4 linked regions of the Drosophila melanogaster genome follow. The protein of the gene in region 3 purifies or fractionates together with the protein of the main gene of each other region. This does not show direct contact. Each region holds a gene or a part of one and is shown on either strand. Other genes may lie near its edges.

Region 1 (7,591 bases), on a different chromosome or scaffold from region 3:
CGCCACGAAAATGGGCACCATGAAGGCCAGCGGTCCGAACACTCGGTTTCCAAAGGTCACCGCCACGGCCAGCGAACTGAGCATCTCCGGCTTGTTTACCACGGCGAAATAGGCCAAGTTGACCAGAACATAGATGCTCGTGACCAGGGGCATGGCTATCCAAATGGCGCGCGGCAGATTCCTGCGCAATGAGAAAACAAAGAAACCGAGATCAGTTTTATACAAAACAAAAACTTCTAACTACTGTTTTTGCAAATAACTACTATCTTTAATAGTTGACTATGATGTTTCATTCGGAACTAAAACATTAAAAAGCTTTCAGGTAAAATAAGAGATATCTTATCACTTTCGATGACCGTTGATATAGAAAACATTTACCTTATACTCGAAAAAATCATAATTGGTTTGTAATAACTAGAAACATCAGAACTAAAACTAATCTACGGGCTTTACTGCGCATAAGAATTGAGTTTCCTACTTGAAATTTGTTTCAGTGTGTCAAAGAACGTGCTATTCAGCGAGAAAGCCACTTGGCTGTGCAGGGAGCGTAGCACTTAAATTGATTGCAAATTGAATTCGTTAGGGATGAGGCAGCATCCCCCACCCACTGGGTGGTATTCTAGGAGGAATGACATCAAGGACACTCAACAAGTTTCCACTTGTTGCTGCCTGCGCATGACGCACAAGGAATGAATGAGGCAAATAAACCCAGCCCAACCCAACCATTTATCCTTGTCACCACTACTCACTTGTATGGATCCTGTAGCTCCTCCGTCACAAAGTTTAAGTAGTTCCAGCCACCAAAGGCAAACAGACCGGAGTAGAAGGCGTAGCCAATGTTGCGGGCCGTGTAGATACCCTCCCACGGATTTCTGAAGTTCTCCAGCTCGCCAGTGGCCATGTAGTACAGTCCGGACAGGATAATCATGATGAGGGCCAGCAGCTTGCCCACCGTGAACACATCCTGCACTTTCATGGACACCTTCACCGACAGGCAATTGATTGTGGTGAGCAGAGCTGGGAGAGTGGGAGTTTCAATTAATTAACATTGAGTGGATTGTTTAACCAACTTACTTAGACATATGGCAGCCAGCAGTTTCACCGCATTCTGTGGGGGATCGCATTCCGGAAAGAATGGCTTGACCGCATAATGGGCAAAAGATAGAGCCACAATGGTCTAAAAAAAAAAATAAAACAATGTATTCATACTATAAATCCCACATGCCATTTGTTTCTAGCGGAGAAAGCTGTCCTACTCGTAATTGAATTCAATTCCGGTCGAAGGTAGCCGCCCATTAATAAATTTCTATTTATTTGCATCAACAACCCATCGATCAATCAAGCCAAATAAGTAAACATTCCGTAATTCAATTGATGAGTACTATAGGAACTGACCTGCGTGGTTGGCCGGATGATGAGCAGTGCGATCCAGAGGCGAAGGAATCCCACCAGCGGTCCAAAGGACACCAGCAGGTAGGCGTAATCCCCGCCAGATCTTGTGATGCATGTGCCCAGTTCCGCGTAGCACAGAGCTCCGATCGTCGATAAAATGCCGCAAGTCAGCCAAATCAAAAGGGAGCTTCCCACGGATCTGAAATGATTTAAAGTAGTCATCGAATCAATAAACAATTTGAATGAAAATAAACACTCGTAAACAAATATGGTCAGGGAATACATACATATATATATATATAAAGCAATAAAAATTATAAATATAGATCTAATATTAACTCGGTGGCAAATATTTGTAAGCAATAATAGTAAAATGGTATTTAAACAAAACATCTAAAAAAAACAAGTGCTGGGGATTAGCTTTCATTTCGATAAAATACTTTTATGAATTTAACTTCCTGGAATTTTTCGCAGCCGCCTTAAGCTTATGACGCACACCTTTTTTTGTGGCTCTTATCAATAATTTAAATGTTTGGCGCGCCTTATTGACGTTATTCTTGTGACTGGAGACAATTCGCTTAAAAAAAAAAAACACTTTAAAAAGCTGACGCAATATGTGGGCAGAATTTCAAGGTTGAATCTTTGAGGGAAAATCGAGAACTAATAAATGTATCTTAATTGGTGCTAAAGGAATGCCTGCGACAATCTATCCATTAATTAACAGCTAAATTGACCTTTTTTGTGCATAAATTGAATTAAGGAGGATGCTCTGTATCACCACTCACTCGGTGTAAATAAAGACTCCCGTGGGAGCAATGAAGATGCCCGATCCAATGATGGTGCCCACTATGATGGCCACTCCATTGATGAGTGTTAGCTTCCGCTTGAGGACAATCTTCTCCTCGCCATCAGCGGGATTTGGATTACCCGGCGCGGCGCATCCATTTGTGGGCTCGACCAGGCTGGTGGTCACTCCATTGGCATATCGGTCCGTCATGATGTCTGCACTGTGGGATTCTTCTGCTTACCCTCTTCTAATGGCGAATAGCGCACATTGTCACTGGAATGAAGGGTAAAAGTTGAAATGTAGAAAAAAAAGCCTTCATTACTATCAGCAAATGGGGCGCGAGCACGTGTTGCGCAAATTGTAAACAAATGCTATAGTGCTGATTTTAGTTACTAATTGCTAGTGAAGAAGACCCGATTTTTGCCTCGCTGGCAGCTAACTAATCTCCCATTGTCAGGCATAAACTTGAATGTTTCCCCGACGCCACTATCTTCGATACACGAAATTTAGCTTTAAAGTAGGGTGATTTTTGGGGTTGGCATGTTGTGGTGTGTAGCTGCCTAATGGGGAGCTCCACTTTTATGGTGACGCCTTTGCCGCGTGCCAATTTCCACGATTTCGTCATCACCTTACGACGCGTGGCAATGAATTTTGCAGTTGCAGAGTTGCAGTTTTTCTGGCAATTGCTCGATTGCTTTTATTCGCTTCTTTTTTTTTTTGTTGGTTATTCGCAAGGTTTGGAATGCAGTTTGGCTGATTAATTTCGGTTTATCTTGTTCCCAGCGACTTTGCACGTAAAACACGATTTATTTTACCTCGAGAGCGCGGACACAACAAAACGGCTTTGACTGCGAACAGCGACTGTGCGTTGGCATCGAGACCGGCATTTTCATACTAAAATTAACGCAATTTTCACCCTAAAACGCAGTGAGAGAGTGAGAGCAGCAAACGGAGAGAGAAACAGAGAGAGAGAGAGAATGAGTGTAAAGAAAAAAAATGAGAAATGAGTGCTCAAAACCGGAAATTAATGTCAAATGGTTACTTACAAGAAGAAAACATTAAAGCTGTCCTCTTGAATGCTAGCTAATGCTAAATTTATCTTATGGCATAACTATTAAGCATAGTTTTCAGTTGAATAATACAATTTCTTAAATGTTCCCGCCAAAAATTTCAAATTTGTTAGCTATTCACCACGAAACGCGCTCAGCTGTTGCACACATCACTTATCGATAGCAAAGCACTTATCGCTCCGCGCCCACCTCTATCCTTTTTAGTTATTGTTTTGGTGCTTGCACGTGTTTTAATTTACTTCGATTAAAAAGCCAAATACCAGCAATGTCAGACAAGTGAGTGATTGAAAAACTATAAAAATGTGTTGACCCTAAACATTATCTTATACTTTTGATCCCTAGATATGCGGTGCCCAACAAATTGCCCGGCAAAACAGTGTCGGTGCTAAAGCATCGCAAGAGGAGAATTCTGCAGGATGAATCTGTTGTTACGCAGAAAAGAAATGACCGCATCAAAAAGAGAACCGCCACCAAGAATCACCACAAATTCCGCCGTGCCGAATCCTTCGTAATGGGCTACCTGAAAGCAGAGCGCACGTCCAAGCGGATCAAGCAAACCATTCTGCGCACCAATGTCACCGAACAAAGTGCCAAAGCTGCCGACGATTCCAATCCCAAACTGCTCTTCGTGATGCGCCATGCGGGCAAGAAGATCTTCGACAAGACCACCGCGGATATATTCCGAACCCTGCGCATGGGCTCGCGCCACAACGCCGTCTTCATGGAGAACACCAAGGAGAACCAGTTGCTGCTGCGCGTTATCGAACCCTTTGTAGTCTACGGCAATCCCTCGCTGAGCTCCATTCGCGAGCTGGTCTTCAAGAAGGGCTTCGCCCGCATCGACGGCAAGAAGACGGCCATCCAGTCGAACACCATGGTGGAGCAACAGCTGGGCGACAAGGGTGTCATCTGTCTGGAGGATATAATCCACGAAATTTGCACAGTGGGTCCAAACTTCGCCGCTGTAAATGAGTTTCTGTGCGCCTTCACGGTTGGTTAACAACTTCTCTTTTGCAATTCTTAAAACTATACTATTACCGCCATTTGGTTTTTTCCAGTTGTCCAGTCCCAGCAATGGTTGGCAAAAGAAGGTATCCGTCTCGTACAAACGCGGTGGCGAGTACGGCGATCGTGGCACTGCCATCAACGAACTGATTGCCCGCTGCCTGTAGAGACCCTAGCCTAGTAAACCCTTAAGTGATTGTTCAACCTCTATAACCCATTCTGTAGCTAAGCCCAATACACATCTATATACAAACGTATTCTATTTGAGCGTACTTATTTAACGAAGAAAATAGATGGTCAGGTCAGCACTATCGTGAGTTTACTGTATGCCTATAAAAGCAATCCTGCGACTATTAAGGAACCACATGAAACTGTCTCTAACGACATTCCTCATTATTCTACATGTTTATCAACATGATAAACTTCACCCACGAAACAAGTTCTTTGCTTCTTGGCCTTGCGTGTCCCAGCCGAGTTCCCAAATTGAACAAACCAGAGAATCAACTTTCTGCCTCGAATAATAAATAAGTCATAACCGAGGTGGCTCCTCGCAAACGAAAGGTATGCCAAACTGAACTACTTGTTGCCATGAAGGAGGAACTGTTGTTTTTCGATTAGTCGGAGTCAGTGCCACTAACCTAGTGCAACTCGGGTCGTCGTATCTTTTGTTCGGATAAAACTCCAGGGACTACACATTGGAATTCAAAATCCTTAGATTCAATTAATTCTCAATGAATTCAAGTTTCAACAGCGAGCAGTTGGACACCGACCGCGATGGACTGCAAAAAATTCTGGCCCGATCTCTCAAGGAACCCATTCTTGGCAAGCACTTTGCCCTGCCTGGCCGCATAGAGCAGAGTCCACCCATCGAACTGGACACCAGCCAGAGCTACATTGCCGTCTACACTCATCTCAAAGTGCACGCCACCATGATGCCGGAGAGATTGCCCACGCCGGAGGCAATCGGACGAATACAGGCGGAGAACTTGGAGGCAGCGCCCAAGGCACGAAGTTCAAAGACCCGCTTGGATCCCTGCTCAAATATAAATTAAATTACGTTGGGCATCAATAAAGAAAGTATTGTTATTTTATCTTTTGGTATCCCTTAAATTTAGTAAAAGAATATTAAAATTTTTTTTTTTATTTTATTAAATATACATGTTCATAATCCTTGTAGGCATAAGCTTCACATCAAATTCGTGTTGAATACATCCTCCTATCGGTGCAGATCTTAGTATCCTTTTTCTTGAAAGTAATTAATATGATGCTTTTCGTAGGTTGTTTAAATCGCTACTAGGTTGATAAGTATAAGACAATTAATGGGACCGCATGTGGTGCTTTAACAATCAATATTGGGTTCATTCTTGAATCCATAAAAATCATGAGAGAAATGTAAAATAACCAAGTGTTTATGTGTCATCCTCACTCCTAATTCTGCAGGATACGCACGGCGTTGTACATCTGGCCAATGATGGGCAGCTGCTTGGACTCGCGCCGGCAAAGGTATTTGTAGGCATGCGACAACAGCCTGTCCAGGGCAGCCACATCGATCTCGTCGGGCTTGGTGGCCGCGATCTGAATGTTGTTCTCCGTCATCGGTTCCTTCTGCGTAAGCGGCGTGAGAAATGGATCAGTACTGCGAATGATATATGCGCTTGCAGCACTTACCAGGTTGTCTAGGTAGGCCAGCAACTGGTGGCCAACAGAGGCAATCTTCAGGAACGTGGACTGCGAGCTCTGTGCGTAAAGATTAAGTCTACGGCCAGCGATCTCCAGCAGCAGTCGGCCCAGCTCCTCGTCATCGCTGATGTCCTGGAGCAACACTTGAGCCTCCGCATCATACCCAAAAGCGTACAGTTCCACCACCTGGAGGAGGGAAAAATATTTGGAATATATTTTCTATTCCATTGTGTTTCCTCTGTTGTGCTCTCTACGGAGCAAACTAACGAACTGATGTTGAAAGGCAAAAGGGATTGTAAGCTCCCTGTCATGTGTGTTCATGGGTTCCTAGATTAGGAATTCTGGGATCATATATGTATGTACATTCTTACCTGCCGTCGTAGGATAGGAAGTTTATCGACCTCCCAACTGTCGGCTAAGGCACAGATCTTGCCCATGTAGAAAACATGATCGAGAATGTACAGCTGCTCCAAATCCTCTCTAATCAGATCCATGGTAGCGGTGACAAGGCGACACAGGAACTCAGTGCGCTGCTGTTGCAGGACAAGATCTGGTGCAGGCAAAACATAAGGCAGTTCCTTATTGATGTCCGCCAGCAGAGCTTTGTTGCTCATGGAGTCAAAAAGCGTGGTCAGTGGTTTTGGAATGCGCAGCTGGAAAAAGGAAACGAAGTGCAGCACGCTGCACAGTTCTGTTTGAAGACGGAGCAGCTGCGGCATGGCATGGTGCTGCTGGAGAGCCAGAAACTGCAATGGCAGGGCTCCTTCGCTGAGCGACTGCTCGAAGTGCAGTTCACGCTTATCGTGCTCCATGGAAGCGGTGAAATGCTGCAGGAATTCGAGGCTGAGTTCTAGAAACTCTGGCACTTTACCCGCAGACATCTCGAGATCTTGCTGGCACATCTTGTCCACTGGCAGGCGTCCCACTTTTTGAATAAGCTTCGCCGCCGCCTGTAGAGGAAACTTCAGGGTGGCATTCCACAGCATGCAACATATTCCATGCTTCAGGGCCCAGTCAGGTGTACGGAATTGGTTTAAACAAAGTAATGCTGCCTTTAGGTGGTCCAGCGATGAGAGCTGCTTGCTCCACTGGACCATGTACTGCCACGACATGAGACTTAAGAGGACGCCCGATTCCAAGCTGAAGGGAAAATGCGCACGCAGCAGAGCCAATCTTTCAAGAATAGGTTCATGGGCTTCTTTACTCGCCGCGTACACTTCCTTTGCCATTTCCAAATCCTCTTCTGATTCCGCGTCTTCATCGACTGACTCCTTGGTAGGCTCATCCTTTATCTTAACTTTGCTCTCGTCGTCTAACTCGTTTTCGGGAGGCGATATCTCCAAAACTTTACTCGGATGCAATTGTGCACTGATCAGCCACTTGGCTGTCAGTTCGGTGACGATGCCTTTGCCACTGCTCACAATGCTTTTGAGACTGCAGTCCGGTGGCTCGTAGGACATCTCTGGACCAACAGGATCCCGGCAGATGAGAGGCTTACTGCGAAGGAAGCAGTGGTTCATAAAGGAGCTAAGTGGAACGATTGATTTGGCACTTACCTTAGTATGGCTCCTAGCACGGCCACATCCTCTAGCTTGCCAGTGAGCAATCCCCACTGAGCCTCATCGTGGGAGATACGCTCCCAGCGCTCATCATCTTC
Region 2 (8,683 bases), 3.1 Mb from region 3:
ATACATATATAGTACACCCCACTCATTCCTGGTTGAGCTAAGCCAACTTCCGGTTATGAACCCAGAGCACCTTTCGCATTTGGCATTTGGCATTCGTACTGCAATTCCTATTCCTATTCCCATTCACGTTCACGGTTCAGTTGCTTAGCGCGCACCCCGAACCCATGGACATCCCCCCATCCTTTAGAGCACTCATGGCTAAGTGCAGTGGCGCTGGCATACTCCGTTTTTCAAAATTAGTTGGCAGTGCAAACGAGCAGAGGCCCAAACAAAATGCTTTACTTGTTAGAGGTCATTAACGCTGTCATTGTTTCGCTGCTCGCCTTCCACCGACCATATCCGTGGACAGTGAAAAACTGGAAAAGGTCACCCGCAAGTGCCAACGGATGTGCCGCGGGTTGGCTCATTAAAATCGGATTTTTGACTCAGCCCCCGCTGCACAAACACAATAGATGGAGCACCGAGAGCGTTTAGAGCTGCTCCATTAATGGCCAGTGGATGTGTTCGCACTTGAACGCGCGTCATTTAAACAGCGAATAAGATTAAACCCATAATGGAAATGGTTACACCACATACAAAAGGGCAATTGTCTACGTTGATTTGAAGTATTATTAGATCGCTACTACATATTACTTATTCTCTAAATCGTTTAGGTTTCAAACAAAATTACAATACATACTACAATATTTGATGAGATAGTATGCAGATACATTCGGGTTTTAATGTAATAGGAAGCTTAAAATCATACCCAAATCTAATTGCAATAACCCAATCCATCCATACCAATTTGCCTATTCCAGATAGTGCCACCTATGTGGGCAACACCCTGCGCATCAAGTCAGTGAAGAAGGAGGATCGCGGCACCTACTACTGCGTGGCCGACAATGGAGTGAGCAAGGGCGACAGGCGCAATATCAACGTGGAGGTGGAGTTCGCACCAGTGATCACCGTGCCGCGTCCTCGTTTGGGACAGGCTCTGCAGTACGACATGGACTTGGAGTGCCACATTGAGGCCTATCCGCCACCGGCCATTGTGTGGACCAAGGACGACATCCAGCTGGCCAACAACCAGCACTACAGCATCTCGCACTTCGCCACCGCCGACGAGTATACCGACTCGACGCTCCGTGTGATCACCGTTGAGAAGCGCCAGTACGGAGATTATGTGTGCAAGGCCACCAATCGCTTTGGAGAGGCGGAGGCGCGCGTCAATCTCTTCGAGACGATCATTCCCGTGTGCCCACCGGCCTGTGGACAGGCGTACATCGCCGGAGCCGAGGATGTGTCCGCCACTTCGTTCGCTCTTGTGGGCATCCTGGCGGCGTTGCTCTTCGCCAGATAAGCCAATGGGCCCACGGCCGTCGACTCCAAGCGCTTCAGGTCCAATCCATCAACCAGCCCTCGAATGCATAAAACATATATAAAATAGATATATCGAAAACAAACATCGTGTAACCGCGCAATAGATGTCTCAAACGATTTCGGACACACCAACCCACATCCAGTTCTCAGTTCGTTTTGTAGCTTCTGCTTCCGTTTCCGTATAGTCCAGCCCAATTTTTGTACGTCCAATATTATGTCTTAAGTTAAGTATGATAAGTGAAGGGCCAACGATAACTAGACTATAATTTATTAGCACCCTAGAGCCGAACTCAAACCGAAATTAGACTCCAGCCCAGCCGTAAACGATGCATTTCACCTTGATCCCGTCCGTTTTGCTTTCTGATCTGGCACTGTATATGTTTTAAATATTTTAATCTAAGCAAGATACATCACAAGCATTCCGATTTTGCTTCGACAATTGAGAGGATATTTTATTTTTATTTAATAATAATAAAGTATTTTCGTTACGCAAACCTATCAGCTCGACACACTATTCCCTAAATAATATCTCAACCCCCATAATCGAGGCAAAATCCATATTCGAATAAAAGGCAACAAAAGTTGTGTACATTATTAGCTCATAAGCACAATGAGAAATTCTTTTGAATAACAAGACATTTTTACCCAAATTTTTGTGTGGGTGTGAGTAAAATCAATTTCGACTTTGTAACAAAAAAAAAAAAAGACAAACGAAAAACTAAAATTAACAAAAAAAAATGAATAAAAATATTTAAAAAATTAAAATAACGTTTTTTCATTCTAACAGTACAGGATATTCATATAATTTAAAATTGAAAAGGGCTACAGTATTCACAACACAAATAACGTACTTAATTAGGTGGCGCTCGCATCGAACTTCCATTGGTGGTCATGCGATAGTAGAGATTGAATTCGGACTCGTAGTCCGCGAAACTGCCATTGTTGTATCGTTTACTGGGTGGAACGTAGCGTCGCAATGGATTCTCAAGCAGGAACTGATAGATGCGCTCGGCCTTTTCCAGCTGCAACTGAGTCTTCACCCCAATGGCCATCAGGTTGTCCAGCAATTGGTCAATTTCCTCGTGCTGACGACTCGCCTTCAGTCTCAAATCGTGCGGATCAACTGGGGAGCAGGGTGATACGTTTTCTATCAGACGGATATGAGACAAAATGTCGGAATCGAGCTTACCAATTAACGGCTGCAAATTCAATTTCAACTCAGACGTGTGTGCGGCAATTGCTGACGCCCACAAAATGCGTTTTCGGACTTCCTGCAGAGCGCCGAAGGGTGTTAGCAAATAGCCTGGTGCCAGTTGAACGGTGGAGGCCAACTCCTGGGCCTCGACGATGAGTGGATTGGCCGACAACAGGAAGGAGCTGTCGGAAAAAACATGAACTCTGGATTAATTGGAAATAGCACATTCAGCTAAAGTATGCTCTCACCAGGCGCGCGGCGTACAGCTAAATTTTTCCAGCGGTATTTCCAAAAATGTATTGAATTCCAGCAAATGCGATGGTAGCGTGGCTCCGGATGCAGCCATCAGTGTGGTAGATGCTGCTCCGCCCGGCACTAGCGTTTTGTTGTCAAAACTGCGACGCATCGTTGAGTTTATTGCGCTGCAGTTGCCATCGAACTCCACCTTGGTGCTGGAGAACACACTATCATTGGCCAGGCAAAAACTCTCCGCACCCAACATGGACATATTGCTGACTTTTAGCTTAGTGCTCATCAGCTGGGACTTGGCGTTTTGTTTCTGTGTGGCCGCTTGCATATCGTCCAGCAGGTTCTTCATCATATTTCGCGAAAACAGGATCTTCTCCTTGATCTGTGACAGCTGCACCATATCTTGCTGGATGCGATTGATGCTGGAGTTAATGTCGCCGTATACTTGTTTCACAGAGCCTAGCTTTAGATCGTGATTCTCCAGCTGCTTGGCGCCCGCATCTAGCTCCAGACGCAGTTGCTCAATCTGCTCACGAAGGAATTCGTTTTGGGAGCGATTAAAATTGCGCATGTTGTACTGCACCAGATAGTCGCTAATCAGTTCATCCGCATTTTCCTCGTCGCCCAAACTTATGCCATTAAATCTGTATACCTTTGATTGCAGTTTGTCCACAAAGACGCTGTAGTCTTGGCAAAAGCGTTCCTCCTTCAGTTCCAGCTCCTTTTGGGCCGCGAAATATTTGGCCGCCAGACCCAGCATATCGGCCTTGGTCTTTAGTAACTTGACCTCATAGTTATTCAGCGGTGGCTTATCATTTGTGCATTCGCCTCTGGATTCATTCAGCTTCATGATGTGCTGCAGCTGCTCCTCTTTGATCTTCATTACCACGTTCAGAAGCAGGGAGTTGGGAATATCCGCAAAGGTGCTCCGCATCTGATCCCATAATCGCTGCTTGGCCTCGGCTAAATTGTTCACCGCATTGCCATCGTCACACATTCCATAGAAGGTCTCCAGCTGCTTGAGAGCCTGCTCCACAGCCCTTGTTGCCTGCGCCTCGCTGGCATTTCTAGCACTCAGCTTCACGGGCGTGGTGCCCAAGATTTGGATCTTGTTCTTCAACTCCTGGTCGTAGTTCTTATTCAGCGACTCCAGCTTCAGGTCAAGGATATTGCATTTGGATTCAAGTAGTTGCTTCCGGTTCTCAGCACTGATGGTTTGAATGTCTGTATGGGATTCACCGCATTAAATTGACGTCAAGGTTATCAGTATGTTCACTTTATACCCACTCTTGGTCTTGATGCCGGCAGATAGCTTTTGGTACTCTTTTCGGGCCTCCGTAAGCTGTTGGTTCGCCTTCTCCTTGTGCTTCTTTAGCTCCTGTATTTTTTGGTACCTCTGGAGCTCCGGTGGCTGGAAACTCCTAGAGGCCAGCGGCACCATTTTGTCCTTGTAGCGAGCCACTTGGGCAATCAGCAGGTTCTCGCGCACCTCCCGCACGTAATCCACCGGCTGGATGCGGGATTGCAGCTGGTTCAAAAGTAAACTGGAGCCGGACTTAAAAATTCTGTGAAGCAAAAAGCGGGTTTTAAGTACGGATAGTTGCCGATTTGCCTAACACAGCTGTAACTTACCTTCGGAGTGCATCATCGGTGGGCAGGGCAGTGGGCGGGCAGCCAAGATTAGTGGCCCAGTTCTTAAATTCTGTTATTTTCTCCTGGTATGCCATGATTTGCAACTAATTAAATTTTTCGCAAAAAGGCGCAGTCGTTTGAACCAGCCATTCACCAACACAATCAAATATGGCAGGGTTGTCAACAAACTACTATTCGCATCAAGTTGGCAGCAACTATAACGGTTATTTAAATTAATTTTTCATTTTAAATTACAACTAAAGATCATATCTAATTATTGAATGGATATAATACTTACTTATAAGCAAGAATTCTGTTAATTAGATATATTCCAGATTTTTTTTATTTATGATATTTTTGGATTTACCAATTAGTTTACCAACTCGTTTTTATAGTGCTGAGAAATACGTTTGCTGCTAAACAGCTGGGAGAGCAAGTAGCTAAAATATCTTAATTAAAAAGTTCCACGTGTTTTCCAAATATATATACTAACGTAATCTGTATAAATAAACTGTGTAAGAATCAAGCAAAGTCCGACAAAATAAAATTTAAAGTAATATATAATTTTATTAGTTATTAATATATGTTGAAAAAAAAACATTGTTCATAGCTAGTTAAAAGCTGAAAAGTTGACAGCACTGGCTCAAGCAATTCCCTCTGACCAGTGCTGGAAAACACTCGCTGTCTTTTGAGCGGCGCACGTGGAGCAAAATCGAAGTGCTCACGTTTTTTTTTAAGTTCTGCTCCAAGAAACTGGATAAACTAAGTTAAAAATATGGGTCGGAAGGCTGAATACAGTGAGAAACCGAAAAAGGGACCTGGGCGCAAGGCGCGCAAGCAAGGACCGCCTGTTTTTCGCAAACAATCGTTTGGTGAGAGCTCCTGAATATTACCCTATTCAATGGGTGTTCAATTCAAATGTTTTACTTCACAGCTCCCATGGAAGAGGAGGACAAGAAGCTTTCCCACCGACAGAAGCAGAGGTTCGTTAAGCGAGAGCAAAAGAAAGTAGTCCAGAAGGCCAAACTACAGGAGAAGAGGGCCAAGGGAAAGTTACCACAACCGGCTAAGCGGAAGACGGCCTACAACAGCGACAGCGATCCTGAGGATAATGAAGAGGAACCACAGGTTGCATCCTCCGATGAGGAGGTGCCTCAACTGGTGCCGGCTCCGAAGGGCCAGAAAGCTACAGCTCCCAAGGGTTTTACAGATGATAATGATGCCTGGCTGAAGCCCAAGAAGCAACAGAAGCAGCCAGAAACGGAGTCCGAGGAGGAGGAGGAGGAGGATGAGGAGTCGGAGGAGGACTCCGAAGATGAGTTGGGAGAAGAATGTGAAGAGGAAGAGGAGGGAGACGATGAGGAAGGATTGGAATCTGATGATGATACCGCTCAGGTTGGCAAGCTGGCCGATCTATCCGACGATGATGATGCCAACTCCGACGATGACTTTGACATATCTGGCGAGGAAGATGGTGCTCAGGCAGACAGTGATGAAGAGGAGGATGAGGACGACGACGATGATGATGATGATGATGATGATGACAAGCTGCCCATCGAGCGGGCTAACAAGAAGTTGAAAAAGCGCGAGGCAGAGGAAGCCCAACTGGCCGACGACGAAATGTTGGAAACCGTTGACAAGCAGGATGTTTTCCAGCTACCCGTCGAAGGCGAAGAAACCGAGAAGGACCTAACCCTGCAGGAAGTGCAACAGCGCATAAAGGACGTCAGTCTGGTTCTTTCCGACTTCAAAAGGTATCGTCAAGCGGATAGGTCTCGCGGGGAGTACATCGATTTGCTGCGCAGGGATCTGTGTTTGTATTACAGCTACAACGAATTTTTGATGGAGAAGCTGATGGATATGTTGCCGCTGACAGAGCTAATGGAATATCTGGAGGCCTCAGAGGTTAGTATATTTCATAAAAAATATAGTTACAAGATTAATCATTAAAAATTAACCCCTTTAGATTGCTCGTCCCCTAACCATACGCACCAATACTCTAAAAACACGTCGTAGGGATTTGGCCGGAGCTCTGATCAATCGTGGCGTCAACTTGGATCCCCTTGGTAAATGGACGAAAGTTGGATTGGTTGTCTTTAACTCACAGGTGCCACTGGGTGCAACTCCAGAGTATCTGGCTGGCCACTACATGATCCAGGGCGCCTCTTCGCTGTTGCCTGTAATGGCACTCGCCCCGCAAGAGAACGAACGCATCCTGGACATGTGCTCCGCCCCAGGTGGAAAGGGATCCCACATCGCAAGCATCATGAAGAACACTGGTGTGCTCTTCGCCAACGATTCTAACAGGGATCGCATCAAGGCCATTGTTGCCAATTTCCATCGCCTGGGAATTGTAAATGCAGTGGTCAGCTGCGAGGATGGCACTAAGTTCCGGAATATTATGACTGGCTTTGACCGTGTCCTGCTGGATGCTCCGTGCACTGGAACTGGCGTCGTCTCTAAGGATCCCAGTGTGAAGACCACCAAGTCGGAAGTAGATGTACAAAGGTGCTACAACCTGCAGAGGAAGCTTCTGCTGACTGCCATAGATTGTACGGATGCGAAGTCATCAACTGGCGGCTACATTGTATACTCAACTTGTTCGGTGTTGCCCGAGGAGAACGAATGGGTCATCGACTATGCACTGAAGAAGCGAAATGTCAAACTTGTGCCCACTGGTCTGGACTTCGGCGTGGAGGGCTTTACCAAATTCCGTCAGCATCGGTTCCATCCTAGCTTAAACCTTACCAAGCGCTACTATCCGCACACCCACAACATGGACGGGTTCTACGTGGCCAAGCTCAAGAAATTCTCCAACACCATACCCATAACTAAGGAGCAGCAGGAGGAGGATGAAAAGCAGCTGGATGAGGCCATCGAAGCGGACGCCACTACAGAAGCGGCTGCGGAGTCTGAGGAGGTGGAGGAGGAGGTAGCGTCAAAGGAGAAGGGTCCCCGAAAACTGCTTGGAAAGCGCGCCGGAAAACCCAGTTTCACCGAAATCGAACAGGAACTGAAGAAAAAGAAGCGGGAAGAGAGCAAGACCAAGTATGTGGCCAAGGTGTTTGAGCAGCCTGTCAAAAAGCCAAAGCCAGAAAAGCCAGCAGAGAAGAAAAATGAGAAATCCCAGGCACCGGACAAGCAAACAAATTCAAGCGAGTCACCTTCCAAGTCTGCACCTAAACAAAAACAAACCAATGGGAAAACCACTGTTTCCAATTCAGATGCGAAATCATTCAATAAAAAGAACAAAGGATCGCAACCCAAGGAAAATGGAGCCGGATCACCAGCTAAACCAGATGACAATAAGCCAACAACCAATGGCACAAACTCCCCTAGCAAATCAGCAATTAAGGAAACGAAAACGAAGCCACAGCCGAAAGGAAAACAGTCGCCCAAGGGAAACGCCAAACTGGCCAAGGCGCCGCGAGTGGATATCGACGATGTGCCCATTCTCGAGGGAAAACCCATCAAGAAGCAGAACAAGCTGAAGCAAAAATCCAAACAGATCGGCCAGCTGAAAAAGTCCACGGCGGGTGCGAATGCGGGAAAGAAGCAAAAGTTCAAGAAGTGAACACCTTAGATCCAGTTTTGTTAAGTAGACTATAAGCGTGTGACATATAGTTGGGGTAGTCCCGACGCGATTACCAATTTTATATTGCGAACTGTCTTAGCGAACGATTGAAGATTGAACTACAACAGCGGTGTAATTAAGATTCAATAAACGTTAAGATCGGTTTAATGTACTCACCAAGCGGGTTTATATAGGTGGCAGGCACATTTCATTAGAGGTAATTGCTCTACATTTCAAATGTGAATTCTAGTATTGACCAAGCTGTCACTATCAGCCCCAAAGCTCTATAGGTAGTTCGAAGGTGGCCGAGCTCAGCAGAGCGTTGCGATAATCTGTTGTTTCATTGTGAATCGAGCGAGCTTAATGGGATGTTTACTTTTACTGTGCTCTTGCCTGGTGGCATTATTCATTCCCATCCAGGCAATAGTGGACATCAACGTGGCAACGTCGAACGATATTCACAATAATCTCAATAGAACAACATCACCGTGCACGAATTTCTGGAATTTTGCCTGCGGTCGCTTCTCCAGTGCCTCTAAATATGTGGACAACTTTGAGCGAGTCGAGGATCAGTTCGCCACTGCCATGGTGGAATTCATGGAGAGCCACTTGGGTGAAAACGATACACTGGCACCCCGACTGATAAAGCAAATGCGACAATACTACAAGGC
Region 3 (8,173 bases):
TTTAAGCTTTGGATACGGAAAGATAATTAAAATATTTCTAAGATGGCCGTTAAATATGTTAATTTATAATTTTTGGCGAGAATTTACAATTGTTCGCTGAATATTTTTATGAAAATAAAATAGAATTAAGAATATGGTTTTGTTATTTGTAGTAAAAAGGTGATAACGAGTTTTGGATTTCAAATGTTATGGAGTTATTGAAATAAAAATAAAATATGGTGGAAACCTTTTACTTTTTATAAATGACGTTCATTTTGAAATTGAAAAAAAAGAAAAGAAAACGATTTTTTTTTTAAATATCCGGTTTGGTATATCTGGTATTATTTATGGTTCGCGAGGTATATCGGTATATTTTAGTGGTCGATCTACGGTCACGCTGAAATATTTGTACACAATAAAAACCGGCTCGTTTTTTCGCTGAAAAAGGTAATAAACTAAAGTTAATGAACGCAAACGAAACAATCGGTGAAGTTAATCGACAAATGAGATGCATAATCCCGCGTTGCATTTTGGTGGATACAGAAATAGGCCAGAAATCGCGATTTCCACACCGCACCCATGACGTGTCACTCGCCCACTTCGTTTCTAATCAATTAGTTTGTTTTTATCCATAGAACGTGTTACTGTCTGCAAAATGATCACCGACGTGCAATTGGCCATTTTCTCCAACGTTCTGGGCGTATTTCTGTTCCTGCTGGTGGTTGCCTATCATTATATTAATGCCAATACCGGAAAGTAAGTAATCCCACTTGGTGAAGAAGAGGAAGAAGACAGCCCGGAATCAACAATAAAACCGATTTTCATTTATTTACAGGCCCAGTGCCAAGGCAAAATGATGTAGGATGTTTCCGCTAACAGACTAATATAGTTCTACCAGGATAATGATAATGCTGCTTCATTCGCAAAATAAATATGTAGTTGTACAAATCTAATCCAGGATGTCGTTAATGGCCTCCTTCATGGCCTGGACATCGTCCAGTGTTTTGCCAGATCTCTGATCTTTGCCTGTGTAGAAACTCCTCTGCGTTTGATGTCCAAAGCTGAAGGCCTTGACGTAGGGCAAACTTTTAGTTTCCTCTATCACCTCGTCCACCTCCATGGAATTGGGTTTGCTTTTGCCTTGATGCTTCTGTTTGCCCCTATTCTTGCTATGATCAAAGCGATAGTTTGCCGGAAGCTTGTGCGTTATGATGCAGTGATCCTTGCGCTGCCGGGCAGTATGAAACTTGATGGTGCACTCTTCCAGAAAGCAGGAAAACATGGGCTTGTCACCGCGCTCCACGCTGGCGGCAAAATAGCAATCGTGCTGTTCGGTGATGTGCAGATCCAGTAGATGGGCAGTGGGCAGCATTTTTCGGCATTCTACGCAGCTGTAGCTCTGCTCCTTATCTATGTTGTCCCTGATCCTAGCTGCCGCCGCATCCTGCTCGCCCAAGATGTCATCGATGTCCACGAGAACGCCGAGTTTCTTGAAGGGCGCCAAACTGGGTGCAGGCGGATCCGTGGGCTTTATGAATCCCGCTGGCACTTCGCTTAGTATCCTGATGATTTGCTCTCTGGAGAGAAGTGCTACTCCCGCAGCTTCCGAATCCATTTTGTTTGTGTTGCCAAAATGTTTTGTTTTGGTTCCTACGCCAGTTTCAACATGTTTCCACTGTACTGCCTCTTGGAAGATGTGATTTTGTTTAATTTATATAAAAATTAAAAATAATTTCCTTTTGAATTGAAATAGTAATACAATTTTTGAAGTGCATACGTAAAATAGACATAATTAATGAATTGAAATACTCGCTCATATTTTAGATGGATATATTTCTATATTAAACAACTGCAATTAAGTTGAAACATCTTAAATGCCTTTGAAATGATGCCACATCGCCAGACTTAGTTACGCGGGCTGGCATCGCCGTGCAGCACATGTGAACCTAAACTGGTTCCGCCCGAGAACCGGTTCTTTTTGGAATACGAAGCTGACACCGCGTGGTGTTTTTGCTTTCGATTCCGCATTTATTTTCCTTTCGACGCGTGGAAAATAAACAAATCCTGCCAAGATGAGTCTGTACAACTTCAAAAAGATCATGGTGGTTCCGCCAGCAAAGGTAAGGTGTACCCAGCAGCGCCCGTCCCGCGGAGCACCCCTTGAAGCAAAGACATAACCTCACTGGAGGTGTTTACCAATATGCGCAATATGTAAATAATATTTTATTTTTTGCCCTTTCCACAGGACTTCATCGACATTATGCTGTCGAAGACACAGCGCAAGACCCCGACGGTGGTCCACAAGGGCTACAAAATATCCAGAATCCGGGCATTCTACACGCGCAAGGTGAAGTACACGCAGCAGAACTTCCACGATCGCTTGTCGCAGATCATTCAGGACTTTCCCAAACTGGACGACGTGCATCCTTTCTACGCCGACTTGATGAACGTGCTGTACGACAAGGATCATTACAAGCTGGCGCTGGGTCAACTCAACACAGCCAGGCATTTGGTGGACAAGTGAGTGCCAAAGTCACAGATCCCCAAACGAACAAGGTTCGATTAACTATTCTATTTTTTATCCCGCAGTGTGGCCAAGGACTACGTGCGCCTGCTGAAGTACGGTGACTCGCTGTATCGCTGCAAACAGTTGAAGAAAGCTGCCCTGGGTCGCATGGCCACCATTATGAAGCGACAGGCCTCCAATCTGACGTATCTGGAGCAAGTGCGTCAGCATCTCTCGCGTCTGCCCACCATCGATCCCTATTCGCGTACCATCATCATCTGCGGTTTCCCCAACGTGGGCAAGTCCTCGTTCATCAACAAGATCACCCGCGCCGATGTGGAAGTGCAGCCCTACGCCTTCACCACGAAATCCCTGTACGTGGGACACACAGACTACAAATATCTGCGCTGGCAGGTCATTGACACACCCGGCATCCTGGATCATCCCCTGGAAGAGCGCAATGTGATCGAAATGCAAGCCATTACTGCCTTGGCTCATTTGCGCGCCTGCGTCCTGTACTTCATGGATATCTCCGAGCAGTGCGGACACTCCTTGGAGGAACAGGTCAAGCTGTTCGAGAGCATCAAGCCTTTGTTTACAAACAAACCCCTCATCCTGGCCATCAACAAGATCGATATTCTAACACCAGAGGATCTGCCAGAGGAGCGACGAGCGATTATCACCAAACTACAGGAGGACAAGAACATTCCCGTAATGCTCATGTCCACCGTACAGGAAACCGGTGTCATGGAGGTGAAAACCGAGGCATGTGAGCGTTTGCTCTCGTACCGTGTTGACCAGAAGATGCGCACAAAGAAGGTGGACAACATCCTGAACCGCTTGCATGTGGCGATGCCAGCGCCGCGAGATGACAAACTTCGTGCACCCTGCATCCCAGAAAAGGCCTCGGCGCGCCTGCTACAGAATGCCGACAAGGCAGAGCGCAAGCGCAAGCTGGAGAAGGAGATCGAGGAGGAGATGGGCGACGACTACACGCTGGACCTCAAGAAGAACTACAGCGAAATCCCCGAGGAGGAGCGCTACGACATTATTCCAGAGTTCTGGCAGGGTCACAACATTGCCGACTACATCGATGCCGACATCTTCGACAAGCTGGAGGAGCTGGAGCGCGAGGAGGGACTGCGGGAGGAGAGCGGCGTCTACAAGGTGCCCGATATGACCATGGACGAGACGCTCAAGGAGATCCGCGAGATAGCCAAGCAAATCCGTGGCAAGCGCTTCGAGCTGCGCGACGAAAAGCGACTGTCGTCGCGAAAGAACAAGCCAGTCATCCCACGAAACAAGCAGCCCAAGGTGCGTGACCGTTCCGTACAGAAACTGGTGTCGACGATGGAGGGCCTCGGTGTGGACATGTCCGGCAGCGAGAACGCCAACTTCACCAAGTCCGTGGTGGATCTGCGTCGTGGCCAGGTGGCAGTTGGCTCCAAGAAGGTGCCCATGCAGCCGCTGCTCGACAAGGAGTCCTCTGCGGTGGTCAGGAAGACTGGTCAGCCTCTGAAGCGGGCGCCGTCGCGCGACACACTGGGCATCAAGAACTTGGCCATTCGCAAGAAGGCGCAAATTATGGCCAAGCGGGATATTGCCAAGAAGGTCACAAGCAGGGGTCTCAAGGGCGAGGCGGATCGCTTCATCGGCACCAAGATGCCGAAGCATTTGTTCTCCGGCAAGCGTGGAAATGGCAAGACGGATCGCCGTTAAGCGCCGCAGCCTTGGCTGGTTAAGTGATTCTACCTGGTGGGCTCGCCTGCTCCTCTGTATAAACTAAGCGTCTATCTTTATCCCTGAAAAACATTTTCAATACAATATTGTATTTTTACAAACAAATTGTTTATTTTTCGGGGACCACACATCACACACTCAGTAAACTTTGGTGGAATTTTTGTATCATAAAAAGCAAAGAGCCTTGACTTCTGGAAAAGTTTATATAAAGAGAGAGACCTGAAAAGCATGTGCATTACTATTGTCTTTAGCACAAACAAAGTTTACCCCCATGGATATTTGCTCGTTTCTTACTTCACCTTGGCAACGTGGAAGTTTGTTTGGTTTTTACCAATTTTCTTGTCCAATGAGTAAAAGTTGTTCGGCACAGCAACATCATGTCCAAAGCCACCACAATTAAGGAGGCTCTGAAGCGCTGGGAGGAGCGGGAGCAGCAAAATTCCCTGACTGCCAAGGTTATTGATCTGCAATTCCAGTGGCCACCCATCGAGAAAATGGACAGCACATTGGGTACGCTGGTGCAGTGCGAGTGAGCTTAAAAGTTCTTAGTTCTTCGAGGAAAATGAACTCCTACTTTTCTGTTTCCCCTGCAGGAGAATCAGTATGTCCACGAATATGATTGAGAAGATATTCGGCTTATCGGGCATGAAGTGCCTCAAGGTATTGTCCTTATCACGGAACTACATTAAGCAGATATCCGGGCTGGTAAGGACGAATTAGATAGGTTCCATTAGCACATCATTTGCTTCTCTTATGTAGGAAGCGGTGGCTGAAACTCTGGAGGAGCTGTGGCTCAGCTACAACCTAATCGAGAAAATTAAGGGTTTGACTGGTCTGAAATGCCTGAAGGTGCTCTATATAAGCAACAATTTGATCAAGGACTGGTCGGAATTCAATCGCCTGGCCGAGATCGAATCTCTCGAAGATCTAGTGGTGGTAGGAAATCCCCTATCCGAGGGATTGGACGAGCCCACTTGGCGGGCGGAGTGCATCAAGAGGCTGCCCACCATCCGCAAACTGGACGGAGAACCAGTCGTGCTCAACGAGGAGCCGCAGCTTTAAGTCTGATGGCCATTCGGTTTATATGGATGACGGAGAGATTGGGTTTTCCATGCGAACTTTCATAGCAGAAAACAAAAAAAAAAATCTTGAAAAATACACAACATGTACTATTTTAGAAATCAGTTTCGTCTTTAGATTTTTATTTAAAATATTAGTTTATCTAACTGGTCAGTTGGACTAGTAAGTATTGCGGCCTTAGGAGGATTCAAATGTCTGCAATGAATTGTAAATTATTCATTAAAGGATTCATTTTTAGAGAATACTAATTAAATCTAACCTCTTGGGCGATTTTCAGCAGTCCCTCGTAGCTGGCTCGACCCGACTGATTGACCAAGTTGTGGAATACCTTGGAATCCGATTTGGTCATCAGTTCATAGGGCGATCCAAACTCCACAACACGTCCAGCATCCATAACCATCACCTTGTCGGAATCGATGATGGTGTGCAATCGATGGGCTATTGTCAAAACAGTGCAATCCCTGAACTTGCTGCGAATGGTGGCTTGGATGAGGCCATCCGTTTGAGGATCCACATTGGCCGTTGCCTCGTCCATAACAAGGATGCGATTCTCTCGCAGAATGGCTCTGGCCAGGCAGACCAACTGGCGCTGACCCACACTGAAATTGGTTCCGCCCTCGCTGATTTTGCTGGCCAGGCCATCGGGCAGATCGGACACCACCTCCTTCAGTTTCACCTCCTCCAGACAGCCCCACAGCTTCTCATCGCTGTACTCGTCGAAGGGATCCAAATTGTATCGCATGGTACCGGAGAATAGCACAGGCTCTTGGGGTATAATCGAGATCTGTCGGCGCAGATCGTGCAGACCCATCTGTCGTGTGTCCCTCGTGTCTATAAGCACGGATCCATCGGTGTAGGATAGCCGGAAGAGGGCGTTAATGAGCGAGGATTTACCCGCTCCAGTTCGGCCGACTATGCCCACTTTTTCCCTGGGCTGTATGACGAAGCTGAGCGACTTGAGCACATTCTCTGCCTTGGCATTCGGTGTGTAGCGAAGGTTTAGTTCCTTAAAGATGATCTCACCCTGTTCTGGCCACGTCTTGGGTGGCTTCTTGTCGTCCGGAGCTTCCAACATTCCTTCCGGCTCAATGCTCTCGTACTCTACCACTCGTTCCACGGCTGTCATGGTGTTCTCCAGCTCGGCGGTTTGACGTACTCCCCACTGAACCATATCGATCAGTCCCATGGCCTGTGGGTAACCAAAAGGTGATTGGCAGGTGATAGTGACTGCTTTAGTGTAATGGCTTACCTGTGTTATGACCAGACCAACATCAGCTCCGTTGCCCGGAGGAAAGGCAAAGAAACTAAGCGTTATGATCGATATATAAATCACGCATATGCAGTTCATACAATAACCAAATGCCTGCGATGTACTTATGTACATGAAAAATGCAGAGCTGTGCGCATCCTGGTAGCTGTCGAACTCCTTCTCCAGAACGCGCTGGGCATCCAAGGCTCGGATGGTGGTTAGGCCATTCAGTGAAGCAGCCAAATGCGAGTAAACTGGTGATCGATCTGTACAAATACTAAGTTTCTATCGATACTGAATGCATTCAATGTAAGGAATTCGTACTTATAGCTTCTACGCGCTTCAAGTCCCTCGAGGTTTTCAGATATAAGTTGCGCAGATGATAGAAAATTACGGACAGCATGAGTGTTGGAACCAACAGCAGCGGGTTGACATTGGCTATAACGATGATTATTCCGGCTAGCCAAAGCGCAATCTGCATCACATCCACCAGAACCACGGGAAGGACCTCGTCTACTTGGCTCATGTCCTTGGTAAAACGATTTAGAATGCTTCCATGCTTATTAATGCTAAAGAAATGCATGTCAGCTCGAGTAACTCTATTGAAGATGGTGTTGTGCAGTCGAATAGATGCTTTTTTGGCGATATTGAATAACAGAAATGACGACGACAAATTCATGATAACTGACAATATTATGATCAGTGTGTATTTGTATACATCCATGCTTTTCGATTCCATATCCTCCATTTCGCCATGGCCAGCAGCAGTGCTCTCCTTCTTGACCCTTGAAAATATAAGGAGTTTATACCAATTAGGCTTAATCAGACCTGTTATACCAACTTACCAGTAAGTAAGGAAGTAGTCACCACCAGTTACAGCCACCTGGGCCAACACAGAGCTGCTCAGCATGACAAGGAAAGCCACCAATCCACCTCCCGCCTGGAAATACTTCCTGTACAGAGCCAAACTAATGCCACCTGATTCCTGGCGCTCCACGTGCTCCTTTCCCGAGCTGGAACCTCCGACGGTCTGCTCGGAGTTTTCCTTGATGGGAGTTACTTCGTTTTTATTGTCGGGAGAATTAAGGTTCAATGGTTCTTGCTCCTCTGTCTTTGCTTTATCTGTCTTTGATAGACTTCCCAGACCAGTGATAAGGCCCGTTTTGAGTAGCGACTCATAGTCGCCCAGTGCTTTGATCTGTCCATTCGCCAAGATCACAATCTGATCGACGTGCGGAAGGAACTGCTCTTGGTGGGTAACCAGAACTACGGTGCTTCCGCGTAGATGACCCCGCACGCACTGATCGAAGAGATGACGTGCTACGCTGGCGTCTACTGCGCTCAGTGGATCATCCAGGAGGTAGATGGACGCCTTCCGGTATACACTTCTCGCCAAACTGATCCTGGCCTTCTGCCCACCCGACAGGGTTGCTCCGCGCTCTCCAACTATAGTATTATCCCTTAAGGGAAGCAGATCGAAATCCCGCTCCAGGGCGCACTTCTTTACAACCTCTTCGTACCGCTGGCTATCCATCGGTTGGCCAAATAGAATATTCTGGCGGACAGTGCCGGAGAAGAGCCACGACTCCTGGGAGGTGTAAGACAAGGAGCCATTTACT
Region 4 (7,577 bases), on a different chromosome or scaffold from region 3:
AACTTGGCCATCAAAAAGTTTTGAAAGCAGCCTATAGAGTTTTAAGAGATTTAAAATATTAAAACTGTATTTAAAATACACTAAGCATATTTCTTGTTACGGAAAAACGAACAATTTTTTACTGAAATATTTCCGAATTAATATATGATATATATGATTAAATACAAGATTACTTCATACTTTACATCAATTCTCATACAAACGTTAACGCTGTGTCCTTAAACATTTTCTTATAATTGTATAAACTAATAATAGACTCGAGAGTTAGGTATTTGCTAGAAATAAGACAACAGTTCTAGGAATTATTTTTTAAATATCTATCGCCCTCGAAGCCATTGTATTCCAGGTATACATATATGGATTTACTTCATTTATACTACTTTCTTTTGTTTATTTGTTTTTCTCCTACTGCATATTTGTATTGCAAACCACACACACATTGGATCCAATATTATTTCTCAAATATATACATACATATGTACTTAATAATGATGAATTGAAAAGCATTTCTCAATATTCCGGGCATTGTGCGGCCTCCGCAGCCACGGACTCATTAGGTAAACCAATCCAAAACGGCAATAGCCACATAACAGATACGAACCTATTCTTTCCTTCTGTAATTGCACTTGATTTGCTGCGCAAACGCTTCCGAGTAGTGACCACCTCATTAGCCGATCACCAAGTAGCCGCATTCGCAATTCTATCGAAGCCACATATTTAAAACAGCTTTTTGTGAAACCAAAATAAAAACGAAAACTGAAACCCCGAATAACATTATTATTGCATTTGTTTTTTTCCAGACAATATGATGCCTCCCATTCCCGCCGTCACGGGCAATAATCTGCTCCAGCCCATGTCGGTGACCAATAATAACAATAATACCAACGGAGGCGCAGTCCCCGCCGCTGCCAGTGTCCAGTCTACCGCTGTGGGCGCCACCTGGTCGGGCGACCTGAAGGGCGGCAAGATGAACATTGACCTGGACAATCTGCTGATGAGCAAGTCGGGCAAGCCCAGTGCCCCGGCCCCTTCGATGAATGCCCTGAAGACCAACAGTCCGGCAAAGGCGCCACTGAATGTGCAGACGGGTGGCGGATTCCCTGGACTGTCGCCAATGACCAGTCCGAACATTTTTGGGGCTCCGGCACCGCAGCAAAGCATTCCACAAAACCAATCAGCATTTGCCAACTTTGGAGCTTTCCAGCAGCAGCAGCAGAATCACAGCAATAATAACAATAATAGCTCGTCGGCATTCGACTTGTTTCAATGATATTTTTTAGCCTAATTTAACCCAACCAACCTACTACCCAAAATGTCCACTCTCACATTCACATTTCCACGATCGCTAAACTTGTCAGTTCTATATATTATTTACGTTTTCCTTTCCCCTTGCTGTACAAAGTTTGCGACACGTGCAATTTGTTTCTAAATTCGTTGTTAAACAATTTACCCCCGATGCAATTTTCCGGATCAAACCCATTAATTCCACATCCGTCCTGATCGTCCACTCGGAATTTGAAAGTCGTCATCAAATGCAATACACAGAGTAGTTGAATAATGGTTGTACTAAACGGATTCGTTAGCACAACGCGCGGACGGACGGCTGAGCGATCCAACATTGAAATTGTTAAACAAAATACTACACGTAATAAAATCAAACAATTTTAGCAATAGTTAACGTTACGATGTGTCTGTATATAAATTGAATGTAAAGCAAATATGAAATATAAAACAATTGAAACCAATAATTATGATAGTCTCTTGATTTAAAACGCAAACTCATAAAATTCCGGTGGGAATACCCTCCAAAGTATATGTTTATTATTATTTGAAATGCGATCCATCAGGGGGTCAAAGGAAATACAAAAGAAGCATGTAAGTAAAAGATAATAGTGTGGACTTAAACTAAGTTGAATGTAACAGAGACATTTACGCCTCCACCGCTTCCTTGTTTTTGTTCTTCTTTTTCTTCTTCTTCTTTGGCTCTCCATCATCGTTGCCATTGCCATTTTCCGCCTCGGCGGCTGCTCCGTTTCCATTACTGGCGCCATTCGTCTCGCCCTCGTCTTCAGCCGCTCGCTTCTTCTTTTTCTTCTTTTTCTCGGACTGTACAGTGATTGCCGCCTCTTGACCAGCTGCCTCGATGGCCTCCTTCATTACCTCAATGTTCTTGCGCGGCACATCGCCGGACTCGTAGAACTTGAGGCGATCTTCGACCTGTTGCTTAAGAGTTTCGCCAAACACGCTAGTCGGCTGTTCCAGGAAGCAATCGATACGCGACGCGATGGAGCACTTGTTGGCCAGGAATCGAGAGATGCGACCCTTGTTCTTCAGGCCAGCTCGACCAATGAACGAGGAGTGATAGATAAGACCATACTTGGGCGTATTGGAGCGGGTCTTTAGAGCACGGAAGAGCGCCTTCTCGGCACCCAGGATTTGTACTGTAGATGCTGGGTACTTGGCCAGATTAGTCAAGCTGCCGGCATGCGATATCAGGCGGGCACCGACCTGGTCGCCAATCAAAGACTGCAGATTGGGTGCCACCAAGTTCATCTTGTTGTGCAAGTAGGTAGACAGTTTCTTTCGGTACTCGGAAAGCTTGACAACGCGCTCTGCGAACAGCTCAATGTTCATCAGATCAACAATGGAGATGTCCATGCCCATGGACATCTTGGCGGCATCAATGATAGCCTGAGCCTTGGCGGAGTCCATGACGATCTTCTCAAGATCCTCCAGCTGGTCTTGCGTGAGGTTCTTGCGATCCTTGATGAACTTGGCCGCCTTGGCGAACATGTAATTGTCGGGAACGATTTTGACCAGTTCTGGGAAGTGATACGAGTACCACTCGCGTATCCGCATAGAGAAGGTATTTACGTCCTTATCCAACTGATCCAGCAAAGCAATCGACTGGATGATCATGTTGTCGGAACGATGAACATTGAACTTGACCTTGGCACGCGAGTAGCTGTGGCCCAGACCCAGCTGAGCAACGCCAGCGGACTTGTCGGTGAATCCTGCATCGGATGGAGGAGGCTTTAGTTAGACAAAGAGGATTTTCCTTGCAAAGCAGGTAGCTTACCCTTGACCAGCTTAGCGAAGTGGAATCGCACGCCGCGCAGAATCTCAGGAACCACTCCAAAGTGACTGCACTGGACGCCAATGGCCTCGGTGATTGCAGCTCCCAGCTTGGCATCCGCAATACCCAGGGTGCACTTCTTCTTCTTCAGCTTGGCAAAGAAGTCATCCAAGAAGGAGAGCAGATCCTGCGGCACTATGCCCTCGGATATGGCATTGATGTTTTCCAGTGCGGCAATGGCCGTCTTGAAAGGTGCAAATCCAGCCAGCTTAACAATTGAGTTGAACTTGGCGAGGTCCGTCACCGAGGACTCCACCTGGGGCAGGAACATGGACACCTCTTCGAACTCCTTGACGGAGAAGAGCGAGAAGCCCGCCGCATGCTCGTACAGCACATACAGGTTCGACTGGAGGCGGGGAAATGAAAAATTATCAGTCTGATGCGGTGGCAGACACATGTGGTTTTGGGTGCTCCGCGTGTGTAGGTTAGTTTTCGCAGGGAAAACATTTTCATTTCACGGGCAACCCGCAGAAAATTCAAATATATGATTATTGCACTGAAATATTTACCATGTCTATGCCGAATATATGCCGATTTAATTAAGAAATATATATTTTTATACACCCACGATGCTGCTACAGTTGTTTTCCCACGTGCTTACTTCAAGTGTGACCATAGCAAGCCGATTGCGAAATGTTAGGGACATACCAGATAAAATACCGCAGTACCGTACTGAATTATTTTAACAGGCTGGCCACGTTGATAGCCTGATAACCTGTCGCGTTGTCCCTCTCGCACTTTCATCAACTGTCTCTGTGTGTGAAAGCAATTTTATTTTTATTTATAACAAATTTTTTGCGTTTATAAACACAACAGAATTAACTAGTTGGCTCGGCACACTTCCTGGAACCGCTCGCATCAGCTGTTGGGCTACGGCACTAGTTAACAGACCGACCAACTGGAGGCCAGATACAGATACCATCATTGTCATTTCCCAATTGACCAGAGAAAGAAACCTGCTGCGAATTCCAGTCACTTTTCTTTAATTATTATTCGGCGCTAATTGTGTAAAAATCGGCGGAATAAAGCTGCTGACACGACACAGAAGAGCCGAAAAAGCGGTGTGGCACTCGCCGGAAAAGTCTACGCATAGGAAAATTCCATTGGAGGCTCAGTGAAAGGCGAAGCACAGCAATTGCATGCCATGGACTTCTTGTTGTAAGTTCTCAGGGGGGCAAAACGTAGTGCAACTGCAATCCTTTCGAGCACAAAGAAAGCTTGGATCACCCCGCCCCACATCTGACTTTCCGGCTTTGTTTGCCCTTTTTGGGGTGATATCCCCAACCTCTTGTACAGTGGAACTTCCCTAATTTTGTCTGCGGTGTTTAAAAAATAGCTTTTCAAAGATATCTTGCATTCTTCCTCAGTGAATTTAAAAAAAGAAAAAAAAAGGAAATATTTCTTTTAGGGAGTGTAAATTGAACGAAGTCGCTTACGTTTCAATCTATAGAATCTTTACTGTATTATGTTTTACTGAGTGGGGCTGTTTGGGGCCGCGACTTATTGCCTTTCTCTTTCCACAGCGGTTCCCGTTCCAGCAAGACCTTCAAGCCCAAGAAGAACATCCCGGAAGGCACACACCAATATGATCTCATGAAGCATGCGGCAGCCACGCTGGGATCGGGAAACCTGCGCAATGCAGTGGCCCTTCCAGATGGCGAGGATCTCAACGAGTGGGTGGCCGTTAACAGTGAGTCTAGTATAGTGTAACTAGCGAAAGATAACCAATTCTTATTGCCACTCCTTCGCAGCCGTGGACTTTTTCAACCAGATCAACATGCTGTACGGCACCATCACCGAGTTCTGCACCGAGGAGACCTGTGGCATCATGTCGGCTGGTCCGAAATACGAGTACCACTGGGCCGACGGTTTGACCGTAAAGAAGCCCATCAAGTGCAGCGCGCCCAAGTATATTGACTATCTGATGACTTGGGTGCAGGATCAGCTGGACGACGAGACCCTGTTTCCCTCCAAGATCGGCGTGCCGTTTCCAAAGAACTTTCACTCCTCCGCCAAGACCATACTGAAGCGTCTGTTCCGCGTGTATGCGCACATCTACCACCAGCACTTCACAGAGGTGGTGACGCTTGGCGAGGAGGCCCATCTCAACACGTCCTTCAAGCACTTCATCTTCTTCGTGCAGGAGTTCAATCTGATTGAGCGGCGCGAACTGGCCCCGCTGCAGGAGCTCATCGACAAGCTGACGGCTAAGGATGAGCGGCAGATATAGGAATCACTGCATGGAGCCGCGAATTTTCGCGATTCCGGCGGCGGTGGTGGTGGTCTGCGCTTGCAGTTGGACTTGTGATGAAAGCGCTCTGGCAGACTCGTGTATTACGCTTTAGTTAGTTACCGCCAATACTTTTATGTTTCGTTCATTGCTTCATGGGGTGCCTCCCACTAAACAAAAGAAAACAAAAAACCGCCAATTGGCAATGTGAACCGAACTATAGCGGGCTAATTGCTGATCCAGAGCAACTACTATATTTTTATATGTGAAACGTAAAAACGTATAAATCATATTTATATGTATATGTAAAGGAGAAAACAAAAGCAGCAAAAGCAACAGCACGCCTTTTATAACTAACACCTCCCGCTTTCGAGAAACAACAAATATTACGTTCACAAACTATGCGTGTTTCCTTGTTTATCGTTTTTCTTTCTGTATGTATTCTATGTATTTATTACTATTAAACTATCGCTAATTGCTCGCGGTTCAGCGGATCAAGCGATTTTGTAATGCAAACCCCAGCAATTTGAGGCGACGGTCGGCAGCACCCAATAACTGATAATAATTGTAGACTTGATAAACATTTTTGATACGTTTTATACTAATAAAGAGAATATTATGAATAAACTCGTCTCTTTTTTGTTTGGTTTATCGTGTATTGACACTTTATTAAGCAAAAAAAAAAAGATAACATTGATGATTAACACAACGAAAATAACCTTTTTTAAAAAGGTTTAACGTAATGACTTATAATATATACAAATATGGTTAAGTGGGGAATTAGGGAGTATTTGTAGTACCCTTCCATAAAATATGACAACTGATATGCGCCTTTGTGCATTTGCGCATTGTAAATGTTTTCGACTAATCTATAACATTCGGCTAATCGCCTTGTTATCACTGCCGCCACACTAACCCCAATCACTTGAGCTTGCTTTTGTATTTGTCTTGTTCCACATAGAAATCGGCGTTCTCCTCGACCAACTGCTTCCACTTCACAGACAGCTCCATATAGCTTAATCCCTGACCACCGAGTTCCTTTGGCAACTGATCGCAGCTCACGGATGTTCCTTCACGACGCACGAAAAGTCGCGATCTTATCTTGGGCGTCATGAATATTCTAAAAAAAATGATAATATATAGTAAATTCTAATTTGACTTAGAACATACAACCCACCTAAAGGTGTTCAAAAAGAAGTTCACATGGCGCGGGGCGTTGGTGAATTCCAATAGCTTGGGCTGACATGGATATGCGGTCCAGCTTTCCACGGATCTCTTGATGAGCTTCGGATTCATTTGAAGAGCGTGCCCCAGTTGAACGCCCTGCATATCCAGAATAGCCACCATTCCGCGGGCACAGGTCTCCGGATCGAGCTTTAGCAGCAGGTCCAATATCATTTTGCTGGTCTGGGAAACAAAGGTTGGAGATATAAGTATATGGAGGAAAAAATGTGGACGAAACTTATCGTATTTCATATTATTAAAATGTTAAGTTATTTTTTATTAAAGCACGAAAAGTTCGCCTTCATGACTATGTTTAATTTGTTAGCTACATATAGTTTAAGACATTTCATAAAATCGTTGTATTTTATTTTTTCCTGTGTACATATTTCCATGACTCACTTTAAAAACATTGTTCTGGCTGTGGAGCTTGGGATCGTGTGCTGCTGTGCGTATGACCACCACCATCCTTTGTTCGGCATCCGGACCGATGGGTAGGAAGACGCCCAGCTTGAGTAGGTCCTGGATCTCGGGCAATTGGGGATCGCGATTATCGAACCATTCGGTGCGCTCCGCCCGCATTTGGTAGAACGTTTTCAGTTTCTTTTTGGCCCGTTCCACATCGAACTTGGAGGTGCGGAGGAAGAAGTGCAGGTTCTCGAAGGTGTTGCATCCGTTGATCTGCGGATTGGCGACGAGCCAGTCGCTGAGATCCTGGACCTGCGCCAAAACCCTTTCGGGGTCACCATCGGTGGTGGCCACTTGTCTTTTGGAACTGCTGCTGCGCGACCACATGGCGCTCCTTTGGCGGTAACGACTGTCGGCGAACTAAAGCAATTGTTTATAAACAAATTGCGACATTCACTCGCCAAATGAAATAAGCTTTTCAAGCTTTTACGCGTACTCAGCGTTTTTTTTAATCGCTCGTCTCGTCGGCATTTCGCATAGGCAAATCGCATTCTAAAATTACATAAGTGCTGATCCGTTGCA

The links.
Region 1: the proteins of Non1 (region 3) and RpL7-like purify together in Drosophila melanogaster (affinity purification with mass spectrometry, with the first as the bait; one large-scale study listed by BioGRID). This does not show direct contact.
Region 2: the proteins of Non1 (region 3) and CG8545 purify together in Drosophila melanogaster (affinity purification with mass spectrometry, with the first as the bait; one large-scale study listed by BioGRID). This does not show direct contact.
Region 4: the proteins of Non1 (region 3) and Nop56 purify together in Drosophila melanogaster (affinity purification with mass spectrometry, with the first as the bait; one large-scale study listed by BioGRID). This does not show direct contact.

The regions. Positions count from the first base shown.
Region 1 is NT_033779.5:12,052,908-12,060,498, forward strand, and holds RpL7-like (ribosomal protein L7-like), read left to right. Parts: upstream 1-3,440; 5' UTR 3,441-3,514; coding exon 3,515-3,525; intron 3,526-3,591; coding exon 3,592-4,240; intron 4,241-4,307; coding exon 4,308-4,421; 3' UTR 4,422-4,985; coding exon of another isoform or gene 4,986-5,306; 3' UTR 5,307-5,344; downstream 5,345-7,591. Other genes in the region: JhI-21 (juvenile hormone Inducible-21), read right to left, coding at 1-181, 750-1,017, 1,075-1,177, 1,396-1,591, 2,178-2,389; CG34164 (uncharacterized protein), read left to right, coding at 4,986-5,306; Rab3-GAP (Rab3 GTPase activating protein), read right to left, coding at 5,683-5,859, 5,923-6,120, 6,306-7,431, 7,491-7,591.
Region 2 is NT_033778.4:12,463,540-12,472,222, forward strand, and holds CG8545 (uncharacterized protein), read left to right. Parts: upstream 1-5,111; 5' UTR 5,112-5,213; coding exon 5,214-5,310; intron 5,311-5,372; coding exon 5,373-6,343; intron 6,344-6,404; coding exon 6,405-8,012; 3' UTR 8,013-8,183; downstream 8,184-8,683. Other genes in the region: Lac (lachesin), read left to right, coding at 801-1,342; dgt5 (dim gamma-tubulin 5), read right to left, coding at 2,214-2,485, 2,552-2,739, 2,806-4,030, 4,094-4,371, 4,439-4,533; Nepl10 (Neprilysin-like 10), read left to right, coding at 8,376-8,683.
Region 3 is NT_033778.4:9,392,510-9,400,682, reverse strand, and holds Non1 (putative nucleolar protein 1), read left to right. Parts: upstream 1-1,948; 5' UTR 1,949-2,051; coding exon 2,052-2,099; intron 2,100-2,224; coding exon 2,225-2,499; intron 2,500-2,568; coding exon 2,569-4,204; 3' UTR 4,205-4,418; downstream 4,419-8,173. Other genes in the region: CG33774 (uncharacterized protein), read left to right, coding at 635-735, 815-836; l(2)k10201 (lethal (2) k10201), read right to left, coding at 929-1,594; ODA-Dnal1 (outer dynein arm dynein axonemal light chain 1), read left to right, coding at 4,603-4,754, 4,819-4,930, 4,985-5,287; l(2)03659 (lethal (2) 03659), read right to left, coding at 5,483-5,500, 5,565-6,494, 6,555-6,820, 6,879-7,339, 7,400-8,173. UniProt on the Drosophila melanogaster protein: Involved in the biogenesis of the 60S ribosomal subunit. Required for normal assembly of the mitotic spindle. May be involved in both centrosome-dependent and centrosome-independent spindle assembly programs.
Region 4 is NT_033777.3:22,417,309-22,424,885, forward strand, and holds Nop56 (Nop56), read right to left. Parts: upstream 3,761-7,577; 5' UTR 3,649-3,760; coding exon 3,646-3,648; intron 3,483-3,645; coding exon 3,080-3,482; intron 3,015-3,079; coding exon 1,930-3,014; 3' UTR 1,787-1,929; downstream 1-1,786. Other genes in the region: lqfR (liquid facets-Related), read left to right, coding at 1-2; mats (mob as tumor suppressor), read left to right, coding at 4,281-4,294, 4,660-4,826, 4,888-5,366; pinta (prolonged depolarization afterpotential (PDA) is not apparent), read right to left, coding at 6,288-6,486, 6,544-6,773, 6,990-7,382.